2 linked regions of the Drosophila melanogaster genome follow. The gene in region 2 interacts genetically with the main gene of each other region. Each region holds a gene or a part of one and is shown on either strand. Other genes may lie near its edges.

Region 1 (7,724 bases), on a different chromosome or scaffold from region 2:
ACTTTCACTTCCTGCTGCCGGCCTGTACTGTTCTAAAACAATTTATTAAAAAACAAAAATACGAGCAGAGCGAGTGAAGTAAAGGGCCCAGGCCGAGGCGAAACGTAATAAGCACATTTCTGGGGGTTCCGAAAGTGAACTTGTATTGTAATTACCAACGCCTTTTGCTGGCTTAAACGAGCGTTTTTAATTTCCCCACAAGCACACACACTGGCGAAACAATTAGGCACAAAACGAGCATTAAATATATGGGGCTGCAAATTGGCCACATGCGCTGGAGGCGCTGGAAGCGGGCTGCTCCTCCTCCTTCTTCGTAGCTCCCGTATCTCGGCAGGCGGGTAAAATTCATCAAAATGATTGTTTAATGAGCTGCTCGCGATGCCGGGAGCAAGAATTCATTTGCGAGCTGGATTTATCTTTCGCACCTACCGAAGAGCAGACAGAAAACAATAACAAGCGCAGAAATTAAACAATCCCCTTAATATATAAATAAAGCCCGGTGATAAAAGCGCCAAAATACTATATAAACAGAAGATATACATATATCCACATGCGTGCCTCGTGAACTTGGCAACGCAATCGAATGTGTTGGGGCAGGACAAGTTGCCTCCGCGAATTTAATTGTCGAGCATTTCGTGTTTGTTTGCCTCTAAAGTCGTATGGTCAATAACAGATAACGAGCATTGGAAGTATTTACCAATGAATCAGCTCGAATACTTTTGCTGAAATTAAAGCTGCTTAGCATTGCGGGAAAGCGAAGATCCTAAAGTCCTAAGTATTATGTGCCATTTAAGCCATTCTCCTGGCCCATAAAGAAGCCACAAAAGCCATGGCAGTGATTGCAAGAAATACTTGCGGCCCTCGTGCGACCCACAATACGCATACGCCCCGTTGTACGGGCAATCGCCTTTGTGCCACCATTACCAATTACCACCACCAGTGGACATAAACCAGGCCAAACAGGTGAGTCGGTAAGCTGGTGAGCTGGTGAGCTGGCGAACTGGTGAGTTGGTGAGTCGATGAGTGGGGTCTGTGGGCATTTCAATGTCTTATCTTATCAGCTATCGGATTCTATCAGTGTGCCCTGCTTAGCAATCCGAGCAAAAATAAATACGTAAGAAGAGAAAATAGACGGGTGCTGCAGTTCCGCCCAAATGTCCAAGACTCTGGAGCTATGGATCTTTGGAGCTCTGGACTCGGACTACAATAAATTCAGTGCCCCAGCACCCACTTAGTCAATTTATTGCAATTATGTGTAAATTGAGGAACAAAGCGGAGACAGAAGTGAAGAAAGGCTACCTCCGATTCCCCATTCCCCCCATTCGATTCCCAGCGCTGTGGCTCTCACTCCCATTTCAATCATCTGCCAGTCGGTGTATATTCTTTGGCAGATCTGCTCGGCGTGGAAAGATGGGGAGCAGTGGCGAGGCCGAGGGGCAACTGAGTACATTTCAGTTTTGAATTGTATTGCTTTTGCCCATTGAATGACTTCTCAGCTGGAGCTTTTAACTTTCACTTATTCAAAATTGATAGATTTTTTTCGTCTCCGGAAATATTAACCAATTCGCTCGACTTCATTTGGGAAAAAATTGAATTTTTATTCGGATCTACGATCAAATGAAATATTTGACAAAGGCCAAATGCCAAATTAAAGTTAAGCTTCACAAAGTCATAAATAACATGCTGCCACAAGTGTTATTTGCATATTGTTATGTGCAACATTTTATATTAGACACACAAAGTTGTTCAATGCCAATAAATTGGACAATTGTCTTGTGGACACATGTGCTGGGTGTGCGAACAATGCCATCGAATTAACCCATTTATTTAAAGGCTATCCCTGTGGAATACACGTCCTGTCCACCGACAAGGACACTGCATAGCTCGATGGGGCTGCATAAAAGAGGGACGAACTCAACTGAGCACCGCTAAAATATGCACATGATTCACGGACTTGTTTAGGACCGGCACTGCCTTCATTTAAATTCATTCGGGGCGGAGATGGTGAACTGGTGTCCAGCTGAAAGCTGAATGCTGAATGCTGAAAGCTGGGGAAGAAAGCCGAAGTTACACACGTCTCCGGCGCCAAAGGACCTGCTATGCTGCCCTCCACCTCCAGCAGCACATCCTCCTTCGCTCCGATGTCCAAAGTCCAGTGTCCACTGGCCAATGTCCAGTGTGGCCGGGCAAAGACGTCAGCAGTGGGGCGGATGCCGCATCGGTTTCAATTTAATTAAATGTTTTGATGCATGACAGCACTGTGGAGCAGCACTGGACATACGGAACATACGGCACCCCACTCACTTATTACTGATTCGCATTCGTATTCGCTTAAAGATACCCATCCGTTCACGCCTGCCTGAATCTTTAAAGGCCGCCTTTTGGGGCCAACTAATGGCCTCGGATCCCCTCCTGCTCCTCCGCAAGCAATTCGCGCTGAAAGGATTTCGGTTTGCTCAGCTGACCGTCGGCAAAGCTTTTGTGCGGATGCGTTCATTTGGCCGCCAAACAGCCATTTATCCGGATCCAAAGACCCCCGACCACATCCGACAGCCCACATCCCACATCGACATGCCTAAAACCACAGGACTTTGCCTCCTCACTAATCATAGTTGACATTAAATATTTAGAAGCGGAGAAAGTTGTGCCAGCCACTGATTGAGTTAGATGATGTCTGGAATCTCGGAGGAGCAATTAAGTGTGCTGTTTGGCCAGCGGATTCACTTGAAAGCGCTTCACTTCGAATTCGAAGGAAAGCTGGAAATGGACACTTCGAGTGAATTAATTTTCTTCAATTAAAGTGGCAATTATGTCGGGAGTTCACAAGCGAAATACCTTCGAGGTAATGAATGCCTTGATTTGATTGATGATTTATACTTAAATTTCCGATTGATTGCAGGGTGGAGTTCATTTGGCCACAAGTACTTGATTAAATTCAATTAATTAACTGCTCAAACACTTAATCAAGTTTTAACATCTAACGAAGAGATACACTTTCGTTTGCCTTTGGTTTACATTTTTCTTAAATATCAACTGTGTATGAACTCTATAAAATCCAGCCAGGAAGTTTGCATGCATTTAAGGCTTCTATTTACGTTCCCCTTAAAATTAAATGGCTTAAAAAAAAAAACAACCAGCGCTGAAACGCCTTCGACCCCAAAATAAATACATTTGAAACACTTTGCTTATTTGCATTATAAACATCAGAGCTGGGCACATGTGAAAATACCCAAGGGATAAGCCAATGCGCACGGTTTTATTTTATTTTACTTTATTTTATGGCACAGGATGTACGGAATTGGTGCGTTATTTAAAAAGATTATTTCCATTCCGCCGTGGGCCTAAAAAACGCAAATCGCAATCGAATTAATTGTCATTCCAGGAGATTTGCTCTTCCGACCAGATTTCCGAAATCTGAGATCATCGGAGAACCTTTTCATCGGGCAAAGTCAATTGGGTGTGATGGTTTTTGGCCATCGGTTAACTATTTCTCAGCTCACTGGAGTCGTGGAACTCGTTGCTCAAATTGAGTGGAAAATCGGGATGAATGGGAATGGCCTACAGTTTGATCTTTCGAATTGGGTTAGTCACTTGATTAGGCTCTCGATGTAATTACATTTCGAGCTAAAGTTACCAGGGCAGCCGAAAGTTGTCCACAAATAGCAGTTTTCTAATTACTTTGGCGACTCGAATTTCCATAAACTTGTAAACCAATTTCGGTTTGGTTTGTGCAATAAACTTTGCAATTCAAGCCACCACCTCCCGAAAACAATGTTTTTGTAATATGGAAAAACAATAATGAGTGGAAAGAGAATGAAAAAAAAAAAACAAAATACTTTGGGCAGTGGGAGACCGCTTACCAGGAACTATGCTGAAATCCCCACTTCTTCGCTCGGCCAACGCGGCGTATGAGCAATGTCAGCCAATTGCAGGCAGCGAATAACAAAGAAATCGTATTTAAAAATAAATTCCGCTGCTCGCCTTCTGCTGCTCTGTGGTTTCGGTGTTTATGTTTATTAGTTTTAATCAAAACACCAATTTGTATATTCACTTTAACGACTAGTTTATCGTTTTTGCGTGTTTGCTCGCTACGAAATTGAATTTGATTTTCAATCCACTGGGCCGAATTCAATTACGTTTACGGATCGACTGCCGGCGGCATTTCAGCCAGCTCTAAGCTGATTTTCCAGCATTTTTCCAACACTTCTCCGCCAGCTTCAGCTATCACCTATCATCAGCGAATTTCAGGAACCGAGAACCCGGAGAACCGACAAGTCCAAAAAATCCGGACCCGTCGCCTTTTCAGTTCGAACCGTACGCGCGCGAGTCTGCCGTTGAACTGAACGGAAAGCGGAAAACTGAATGCCAGCCGGAATTTTCTGAGGCTGTGCGCGCTGATATGTCGGTGTTATAATAAGGGCCACAAAAAAGTGGGCGGTTTTTTTTTCTGCGGCGGGGGGGGTTCCCGTGGACCTCGGGGACTCCGGCCGCTTGTTGCATATGTTGGGATGTTGCACTGGGGACTAGGGCTCACGTAACCCCTTTGCGTTGAGGGCCTTTTATTTTATCGGAGCAATGAGCAACGTTTCCATTTGAAAAGCGTTGAAATCTGCGACGGAATCGAACGGAAACCCGCCCAAATTCACCAGTGTTGCCGAGTGTTTTCTTTCTACGCCTGCGCCCTATCTTTTCCTCTCGCTCTGCCTTCGTTCGCTCTCTGTTGTCATACGGCTATTCGTAAACAATCCGGACTCCGGCGATTCTGCCACGTGCACGCCACGCACAAGCGGAAAATCAAATGACCAAGATGTCTTACAAAATATACACACATATGCACAATGAATATATCGCTTCCAAAACAGCACTTTCAAAGCGTTTAATACCACATTCAAAGGAAGATGTTTATCAATACACTCGAATAATTTGTTTTAGGTTTAGAATGCATGTTTACAAATTCAATAGGGGTATATCATTGAAATAGATTACACATCTTGATTATCAGTGCAAAGTGATTTGCTATTTTTGCTAAGGTAGCCAAGTCCTAAGGCTAAAATTCCCATTTCCCATTAAAATTCCACTTTCCCAAGTGGAAAGGCTACGAAAAATTTTGGATTAATTTATCAAAATATAGAATGTAATACCTCGTTGAGCTCGTAATTGCATGCCTAATCGATTGGCATTCAAGTTTTGTTGATTTTGAAAAATAAATTTTTGGCCAATTTTAGCAAATTTTAATGATGGTACCCCTTATCAAATTTGCGAAAATTGGTCCAAAAATTAATTTTTCGAAATCAATTAAAAAGTGATTTGGATCGATTGCTTAGGTCACAGGCTCCAAAAAACATGTATAAAACTGACTGTAATTATGATTTTAGCCAAATTATGGGTATAAAACCGCAAATTCTCCTATTTTCCATACAGAATATGTCTCTATTTACATTTTGATAAAACAATTACAATTTTACAATTACCATACATACAAAGAAATTGTTTTCAGTGCAGAGCGTATGTTTGTTAGTTTTGGCCAAATGACTTGGCTCTTTCACACCAGACAGCCGCAGGTGTTGGTGGCTGATCTGGCCAAAAATGCCTAAAGTAAGCAATGAATCCGAAATGCCTCCCCCTCTTCGCCAGATTCGGACGTCTTAATTTGCTGGCGGAGATGGAATCCCGCAACTTCATCCGCTGCACATGCATCAATGTCCCATCAATCACTCCATTTAGTTGTAACAACTGAGCAACGAATGGGTTGCATGTAAAATGAGATGACCTACACCATGGTTTGGCACACATATTCGACTGATCCAAGATGAAACAAGTCAACTTAACTAGCTTAGGTAACTATTTTCCAACGCTTTGAAGGCGATGTCTCATTTAGATTATTTTCTCGTCTTACATTTTGTGGAAGGAGGATACACAGTGAAAGCAGGAGGTCATTAAATTTCTTTATCTCTCGCTGACGTGCAGTCCATTGAACACATCCATAATGATTATGATGGACCAAGTTGAACTTGGTGGCTCGCACCGAGCTGCGAGTCCGAGTGTACGCCTGCAATGGCCAATATCCCGAGCAGCTGGGCATCATTAACTATCTGCAAGGATAACGCTCGTTACCAGTGCCATGCCCTGCTGATGACCCCATTTAATCAACGCTAAGCCCGTCTCGTCCTGCACCTCATCATCATCATCCTTCCCTGCCGCCCCCGCCCCCTCGTTGACCGCCAGAATGATAATTTGTTTGTCAACATTATGCTGGCAAAATGTATATTTGGCTAAATACCAGCCAGCCCCGACAGCATGTGACGAGTGGTTTGATTGATGACCACCGCACGGCCGCTGGAAATTTAATTTTCCTTTTTCCCCAGGCTATCTGGTCGCGTATCCCGCTGTTTTTAAGTGCGTGTCATTCGGCGGTCCTGGGCGGCTGTCGCTGTAAATGTGATGGATAAATTGGAAAAACCAACAGACACCACAGGGTCAGCTGGAATGAGCATCTATTTAGTTGATACGAATCAAAAGAATCATTCAATCTGTTTTCCAAATATCATTACTCATTTGTAAAGCATGCAATATGCCCAGCCATTTTTAATCTGTATAAACATTTTTAGCGAGTTTATGAAATTTTAAATGATGCTCCATAAATTGTGCATTCTAATAAACTCGCTCACTGCGCCGCATCTGCGGTTTTAGCCAGTTTCTGCATGAGTGTTTCGCGGCAATTAGCGATGGCCGTGCTGACCACCGAAATGGCCAGCACAGACAGAAGCCTTTCAAATTGGATTTGGCGCCAGCTATGTGAAACATTCGGTTGTTTTAATTTCCACTTAGGCAGCCACGTTTTTCCAATTACCCTTTGGTCCGCGGCGAAAAAGCCACAAGTCCTCGGAAAATGCAAAAGAATTCGCCAAATGTTTTGCATACTTTCGGAGCCGGAAAAGCGAAGTGGAGCGGTGAGGAGGAGTGAGACCACCTCCAGCATCCAAGGTCGGGCCATAAAATTTCATTGGGCTCAGGTGTCACTTGGCAGAGTCGGAGGCACCGCCTCCCATTCAGAATTTATGGCCAACAAAATGCAAACATAAGTTTCATAAAGCCAAAACTGTATTAAAATATGCGAGGCGGCGGAACCCGCTTTTTTCTGCCACTGCTTCATTAGGCCAAGTTAAATCTCCATAAAGCGCAGCCAAGGCAAGGCTCTCTTTTTGTTTTCCTTCGGCTACATTAGACAGCTGCTCGTAAAGGAAAAAGCGCCACGAAGGAGCAGCAAATCAACTACGACACGACCAGGAGCTGGAGCAGATTGGGCCAAACTTTTTCGACTGCCATGTGTGCGCGGGATGCGATGAAATATGAAGGTATCGCAATCTAGGTAGTCCATTTCTCATCATCTCCCCGCGCGCACGAATGCTCCAAGATGAAAGCCAGAAGTTGGTTAGCAGTAACACTCGAAAATAAAGTCACCCCAAATCCAAGATGCAAATCCTTGGTCCTTAGGCCAAAATCAACATTTTGACCAACTCTCAGGGGAAGCCAGTATGAAATTTTTTGAAAAAATGCTCGGAATATGGAATGTAATACCTCGTTGAGCTCGTAATTGAATGCCTAATCGATTGGCATTCAAGTTTCGTTGATTTTGAAAAATCCATTTTTGGCCAATTTTTACAAATTTTAGTGATGGTACCCCTTATCAAATTTTCGAAAATTGGTCAAAAAATTAATTTTTC
Region 2 (6,677 bases):
TAACACTTGAGAGGAGCATATTGCTTAGCTATTTAATATACATAGATCAAATATAATTAATTTTGAACTTAAAATTTATTTTGTAGTTTATTCGGTCAAACGGTTAGTTTGGTTTGAAACATAGCTGAATGGCTGTGAAATCAGTGCTGGTTTGAGTCTGCACTAAATGTCTATCGAAGTCGATCGAAATTTTGTTTACATATTTTATTTTAATTTTGGTAAATAATATTGCAACAATTTTAATGTAAATAAGAATCAGAAAATGTTGAGACACTGCCTCGCCAACGTCGACTACGTCCGCCTGCACGCCCAGCAGCAGTTGCGTCCCAAATGCGGCGAGATCTTCTACGAACCGGAGGCGAATAGATTCCAACTGGTCTGCCTGCTCTGCGACATGAAGCACTTTGGATTCGAGGACTTCGCCCGCCATATCCGTAATGTGCACTTCGACAAGCAGGGCCGACCGCTCACCAAGACGGTCACGGGACTGGGCAGACTAGCACGAGAGGAACAGGAGTTCCAAGGGGTCAGCGCAGAACCATTGGCTGTGGACAGCTTCAAGAAAGAGTACCTGCCCAACGAGGATGTTCTGTCGGAGGAGGAGGACGCGGAACAGGAGCTGGGACTGGAACAGGACGAGGGCAATCCACTACGCATCATGGTGCTCGGGGGTAAACAGTCCGTGGACGAGGAGACCATCGATACGATGTGGCAGCCGGATCATGACAGTTCCTCCGCATCCGTCAACGAGGGGTGCGCTCTGGAGGCTCTGTTGGGCGTGGAAAATCCGCAAGACTATCAACCGGATGAGGACGGGGAGGAGCACCAGTCTGTTTTTAAGGTAGAAAAACTGTAGTACGTGCACTTGAAGAAGGAAATCCAATATCTGAATATGTTTTTTCCCTGCAGAAGCAGCGCCAACCAAAGGACTACAACTGCCCACACTGCGACAGGAGGTACACGACGCAGAAATACCTAAACACCCACCTAAAGATGAGCCATCCGTTTCCGCAGGCCTTCAAGTGCGTCGACTGCAAAGCCACCTTCGATGTGGACCGAGCATTGGCCCAGCATCGTCGCAAGGAGCACACGGAGTTCGCCTGCCAGCTATGCGACAAGGTGTTCAAAAGCTCGCGATCCCTTCTTCGCCATGTGCAGGGTCACTCCGGCGCCAGGACATTCAAGTGTGAGCACGAGAACTGCGGCAAGTCGTTTGTCAACCAGCACAACCTCACCTCGCATCGGCGGGTCCACAGCGAGGAGCGGAACTACGTGTGCGAGCTGTGCGGCTATAGATCCCGCTACCGGGAGGCGTTGATCGTCCACCGGCGCACGCATACGGGCGAGAAACCCTTCCAGTGCCAGACCTGTGCCCGCCGCTTTGCCTCCAAGTCGCTGCTCAACGAGCACCAGGCCATGCATTCCACCGAGAAGCCCTACAAGTGCGACAAATGTGATTCGGCCTTCTCCCGCCCGAAGGCGCTCTATCACCACAAGCATCTGCATTTGGGCATCAAGAAGTTCAAGTGCAAGATCTGCGGTAATGCCTATGCCCAGGCGGCAGGTCTATCCGCTCATATGCGAGCGCACAAGCTCCAGGCGTCCGTAAATGCGACGGAGGGTGCCGAGGCGGAACCCATCGAGATGCTTTTCACCTACTGACCGAACTGAGTGGAAACCTCCTGTCGCCTTAAGCTCTATTTCCATATAACTCAAGATATTCAAGATACACCACAAACAATGTTCACTGTTCTAGATTTTATAGATAGCTTATCAATGTTTATGGACACCCGACTCTTTCGTTCCAACTTTTCACATATATATATATATCTGTAAATAGTATTAGACATTTTCCAATCTAAGGCCGCAAATGTTCTTTTTTAATTTAAGTGATGAAGCCTTCCATTTCTGTGTCTCAAAAATTAGTACCTACATATCAGTAGAAGTCGTGTGTAAGCTGTTATATCTGTTAGTTTAGCTAGTTTTAAGCCAAGACCTTGCTTCCGACTAGGACAAACCACGTATGTACAATAAATGTTCTGATACACGTTACTCCAACATGGACTTTCAAATGGGCGCACAAAGAAGCCAGTTTGTCTATAGCTCAACATTTATTTCGAACAGGAACTTATAACTAGTCGCATATTGGTTACACTTGGATGCATATACATGTATATATTTAGATTCAATTTGGTACAGCAGCTGGTAGTAAGCATAACACTGCGGTAACCAAGACATCCATGCTGGCAATCCCGACATGAGACATATGTACACACTTGGGGGATCACCGAATCCGTAACTTAACTATCCTAGAGATGCGATGCACAACACAAAAAAAAAAAAAAAAAACAAATCAGAAGAGAGGGAAAACAAAGCGAGACGGCATCTGTCCTGGACAAATGCATCCCCCAACAATAAGGTGCCACATGGCTTAGGCCCACACCCGTATGGTGTAGTCCCAACTGCCGGTGGATAGAGCGGTGCCATCGGGCGAGACCTGGACGCAGGACACCTTGTTCTCGTGCCCGTACAGCAGGCAGACCCTTTCCGATTTCAGCGTGTCCCACAAGTTGACGGTGTAATCGTTGTAGCCAGCAAACAGTAATCTTCCACTGACCGAAAAGTCCACCGAATTGACGCCAAAGATGATGCTCTCCTTGGCGAACACGGCCACCTCGCGATCCGCTCGCATATCGTACAGCCGGCAGCTGCTGTCATCCGATCCAGTGGCTATGGCATCTCCGCAAGGATGGAACTTAACGCTATTCACATCCGATTGATGACCCTCGAAGGACTGAACGACATGACCAGAGCGCATGTCCCAGATGAAGGCCATGCGATCGCAACTGCCCGAGACAAAGGTGTTGCCCGTTTCGTTGGGAGCCAAATCGATGGCCATTACATCGCCGGAATGTCCGTGGAAGCTTTGCAGTAGCTGGCCCGATTCCACGTCCCACAAAGCGCATGTGGAATCGCCACTGCCCGTGAGGATTTGCTGATCGGAATTCGGATAGATGCAGCACGACATGTAGCTGGTGTGGGTGCCCACTGTGCGCTTCTTGGCGGCCATCTCCTCATCGGAGGTTATCGGATACACGGTGACCTTATTGTCTAGTCCGCCGCAGGCCACAAAATTGCCCGACGGCGCGTAGGCACAGGCCATAATCCAGGTGGTGGGCATGGTGACGGCGTGCTCCTTGTTCGTGGTGAACGCATCCCAGATGATCAGACGTCCGTCCTGCGACGAGGAGATGATGTGACGCTTGTCGGGACTCCAGTCGGTGCACAGGACCTTCGCCTGGTGGCCCTTGAGCACCTTACGCGGCTTGATGTTCACATAGGCGATCTGCTCCAGCCGCTCTGCGATGTTCGACAGATTGACGTCGTTCAGCTTCTGGCGCTCCTCCTCCAGTTTGGTCTTCAAATTCTCCGCCTCTCGCACCAAACTGGCCATCTTTTCAGTGGCATTCGCGTTCGCATTGCTCGCTGGCACCGCCGCCTCCGACATGGTTGCTCTGAGATGGCGCTTCTATGGATATCTCTCGGGGATTGTGTGTCCTATCCCGTTCGAACTTCTCCAATTGGACAGCGAAAAATCAATCCGAAAAAAAGTGTATACTCGAATACGAAAATCCGAATACACAGCGATAGGCGCGGTCGGTTATCGATAAGTTTTACCGTTGGTAAATGGCAGAATGTACCGTTACATATCCTTTATTTTCGGAGAACTTGATAAAAGATTGTGACGATGTTATTATTATTAATTTTCATCAATATGACAAGGTATTGATGAAAATTGGCGTCAAAATTTGTTAAATTTTTGTTCTGTTTTTGTTAAAAGCCGGTTTTCCGAATTTCCCTCATAAAATAATCAGTTTTTTGCCCAGAACTTTGAAAATAATTGACCAAATATGGTATGTCATATCTCGTTGAACTCGTAATGAAATTTCCAATCGAATTGCATTCAAATTTGCGAATTCAAAATTTTTCCATTTTTTTGCAAATTTTAATTTAATGTTACCCCTTAAAAAACATGAAAAATATGACACAAAAATAAATTTTTCTATGCCCGCCCAAAAGTGATAGGGTTCGTTAGTAGTGATAATTGGCTGTTCAAAACAGTTATTCTTTAAGCTGCATGATGATTTTCCGCCAAGTTATGACTAGAAACTACTTGTGATAACGAACTTATCGGAGTAAATACCATTTCAAATGTGGCGCCACAACCAAGGTAAGCTCAACACTGCGGTTCGTTAGCCAACACTACCATCAGCTGGGGAAAACCACCCTTCCCCACCCCCTTGAAACAAACACTTACAAAAAAGCGACGCCAACGGCTGGAATCCTCTGCTAATCCGGAGCCAGTTGACCGCCACTTCCACACAGGCAGACCAGGGAGCAAGCCGCGATGATCAAGGTGCAGCCACCGCCGGATGTGGCCGGTGGCTACCACAATCTGCGTTGCGGCGAGGTCTTATTCAGTGCACCCGCCTCCTACGAAGTGAGCTGCTTGCTGTGCGACCAGCGTTTGCCGTTGGACGGCTACCCGGAACACTTCCGGCTGAAACACTTCACGAACAGCTCCAGCTCGCTGTGTTCCAACGAACTGGAAAGCGATCCCATTGCCCAGGACGTCGTCGAAGTACAGGGAAATGAGGAGCTACATGAGGAACTGGCAAAGGAAGCTAGCCCGGACTTAGAGGAGGAGGAGGAGGAGAAGGAGGAAGGTTCCAAACGCCAGCATTACCAGCGTGCAGCGGCCATGAAGAACACCCTGGTGGAGACTCGCGAGGATTTGCTGGACATCGAACTCGACTGGACGGGCGGCGAGCAGTCGGAGCATAATGAAACTCACGAGGAGGAGGAGGGGGAATCGGATGATGATGACACGAAGGACAGCAACGACACGAAGGACATGCTCTTCCAATGCGATCAGTGCGACCGGGCGTACAACACCAAACGCAGCCTGCAGAGCCATCGCCGCCTAAAGCACAGCGAAGCCAACGGCGGAAGTCTGGACAAATCCGCCAGTGAACGCAATAGCAAGAAGCGGAAAGGTCCGCCGAAGGTGTACAAATGCAACGAGGAAGCCTGCAACCAGACATTTCGCACCGAACGCGATCTGCGCGGCCATCGCTGGAAGCACACGGGAATCTTCTGCGACATTTGCGGCAAACCCTTCACCCAGTCGGGCAACATGATGCGCCACCGCCAGCGACACAGTGGCATCAAGCCGCACAAGTGTCCGGAATGCGACGCGACCTTTTACACGCAAAAGGAGCTCTCCTCGCACAGTATCTGCCATACTGGTCGCATGCCCTGCATCTGCGAGGTGTGCGGACGACCTTGCCGAGATCGAGGCGTTCTCACGGCGCATATGCGTCGCCATACGGGCGAAAGGCCGGCCAAATGCGAGGTGTGCGGCAAGGCATTCTATAGCTTTCATGACCTCAATGTCCATGCTGTATCGCATACCAATTTGCGGCCCTTCGTCTGCGACGTTTGCGGCTCCACGTTTCAACGGAAGAAGGCGCTGCGGGTGCACAAGCTGCTCCACTCTGAGCAGCGCAAGTACGCGTGCAAATTGTGCGGCAAGACGTTCGCCCAGTCCGGCGGTCTAAATGCCCACATGCGCAGCCATGATCCGGCGAGAGTTAAGGGAGCTGTGAAGCCGCTGCCGCAATCGGTCACCATCGAGGTGATCGAGGGCAAGAGTCCGCCCACCACCACCATCACCATGGCCATCGACCTCAATGTGGAGGAGCAGCTGGTAAAGCAAACCGAGACTGCACCCACCACTTGGCGCCTGGCCAACTGAGTAGCTAGCTAGGATTAATATAAGGTTAGATGTAGTTCATCTATAAGTTCCAAATTGCGCCATAATAAATGAGAGAAATCAGAAGATTGGAAATGAATTAATAATCGTAAGAAACCAGAAGGCAGATGCATAAAACGATTGATTTGCGGTACAAAAGTGTCCTTTATTGGGGTTTCCTAAACGGAGAGGGTTCCAAGCTGTCAGCGATCCAAGTCCAGATGAGTCTGGGCTCTAATCCTTGCCAGCGTGTGCATTCTACCCGGGATTCTTAGCTCTAAACATGTAGTTCGTATCGCTATGGACTAAGTTAAGTATTGGGATAAAATAATACATACAGCCTTTGTTGTTTTTTTTTTTTTTTTTCCAAACGAAATTGATGATCATAAACGGAGGCTTTTGCGTTAAAGGTTAAAAAAATATATTCCCGCCCCTTCGTTGTTTTCAAAAAAGGTACATATTTTATATTCTATGCGCTGGTCGGTTCACTCATTACTAGTTTTTCGAAGCGATAAACTGAAGAATTAAAACCTAGCATAATTCTAGATGCAATATTAAGTAAACTAGTTTAAAATAGGGCTGACATTTCTGCCAAATGGACGTACTCAGTTACAAATATAGTTAAAATCAATCAAATTGACGAGAATGTTTTGAAAACTAAAGATTAATTAAGCACTGAAAATGCATTGATAAGGTATCACGGGTAAACCCAAGACCAACTAAGTTTTCCAATTATAGACCTATGTATTTACGTGATCTGCATTGACTTTTGTTCACTAGAACCAATAGTAAGTAATAGTATAGCACTAGAAATACAAATAGAGAATAAGAGATAGTTCTAGGATACTAGGCTAATATCGAT

What was found. Genes that interact genetically often act in the same process or in processes that back each other up.
Region 1: of Gbeta5 (region 2) and TkR99D, changing one suppresses a phenotype caused by changing the other (phenotypic suppression), as found in Drosophila melanogaster (one study listed by BioGRID).

Annotation. Positions count from the first base shown.
Region 1 is NT_033777.3:29,965,123-29,972,846, forward strand, and holds the start of TkR99D (Tachykinin-like receptor at 99D), read right to left. Parts: upstream 4,326-7,724; 5' UTR 3,861-4,325; intron 1-3,860. UniProt on the Drosophila melanogaster protein: Receptor for tachykinin-like peptides.
Region 2 is NC_004354.4:8,148,636-8,155,312, forward strand, and holds Gbeta5 (G protein beta subunit 5), read right to left. Parts: upstream 3,641-6,677; 5' UTR 3,509-3,640; coding exon 2,432-3,508; 3' UTR 2,096-2,431; downstream 1-2,095. Other genes in the region: CG10959 (uncharacterized protein), read left to right, coding at 263-841, 910-1,662; CG18262 (uncharacterized protein), read left to right, coding at 4,409-5,818.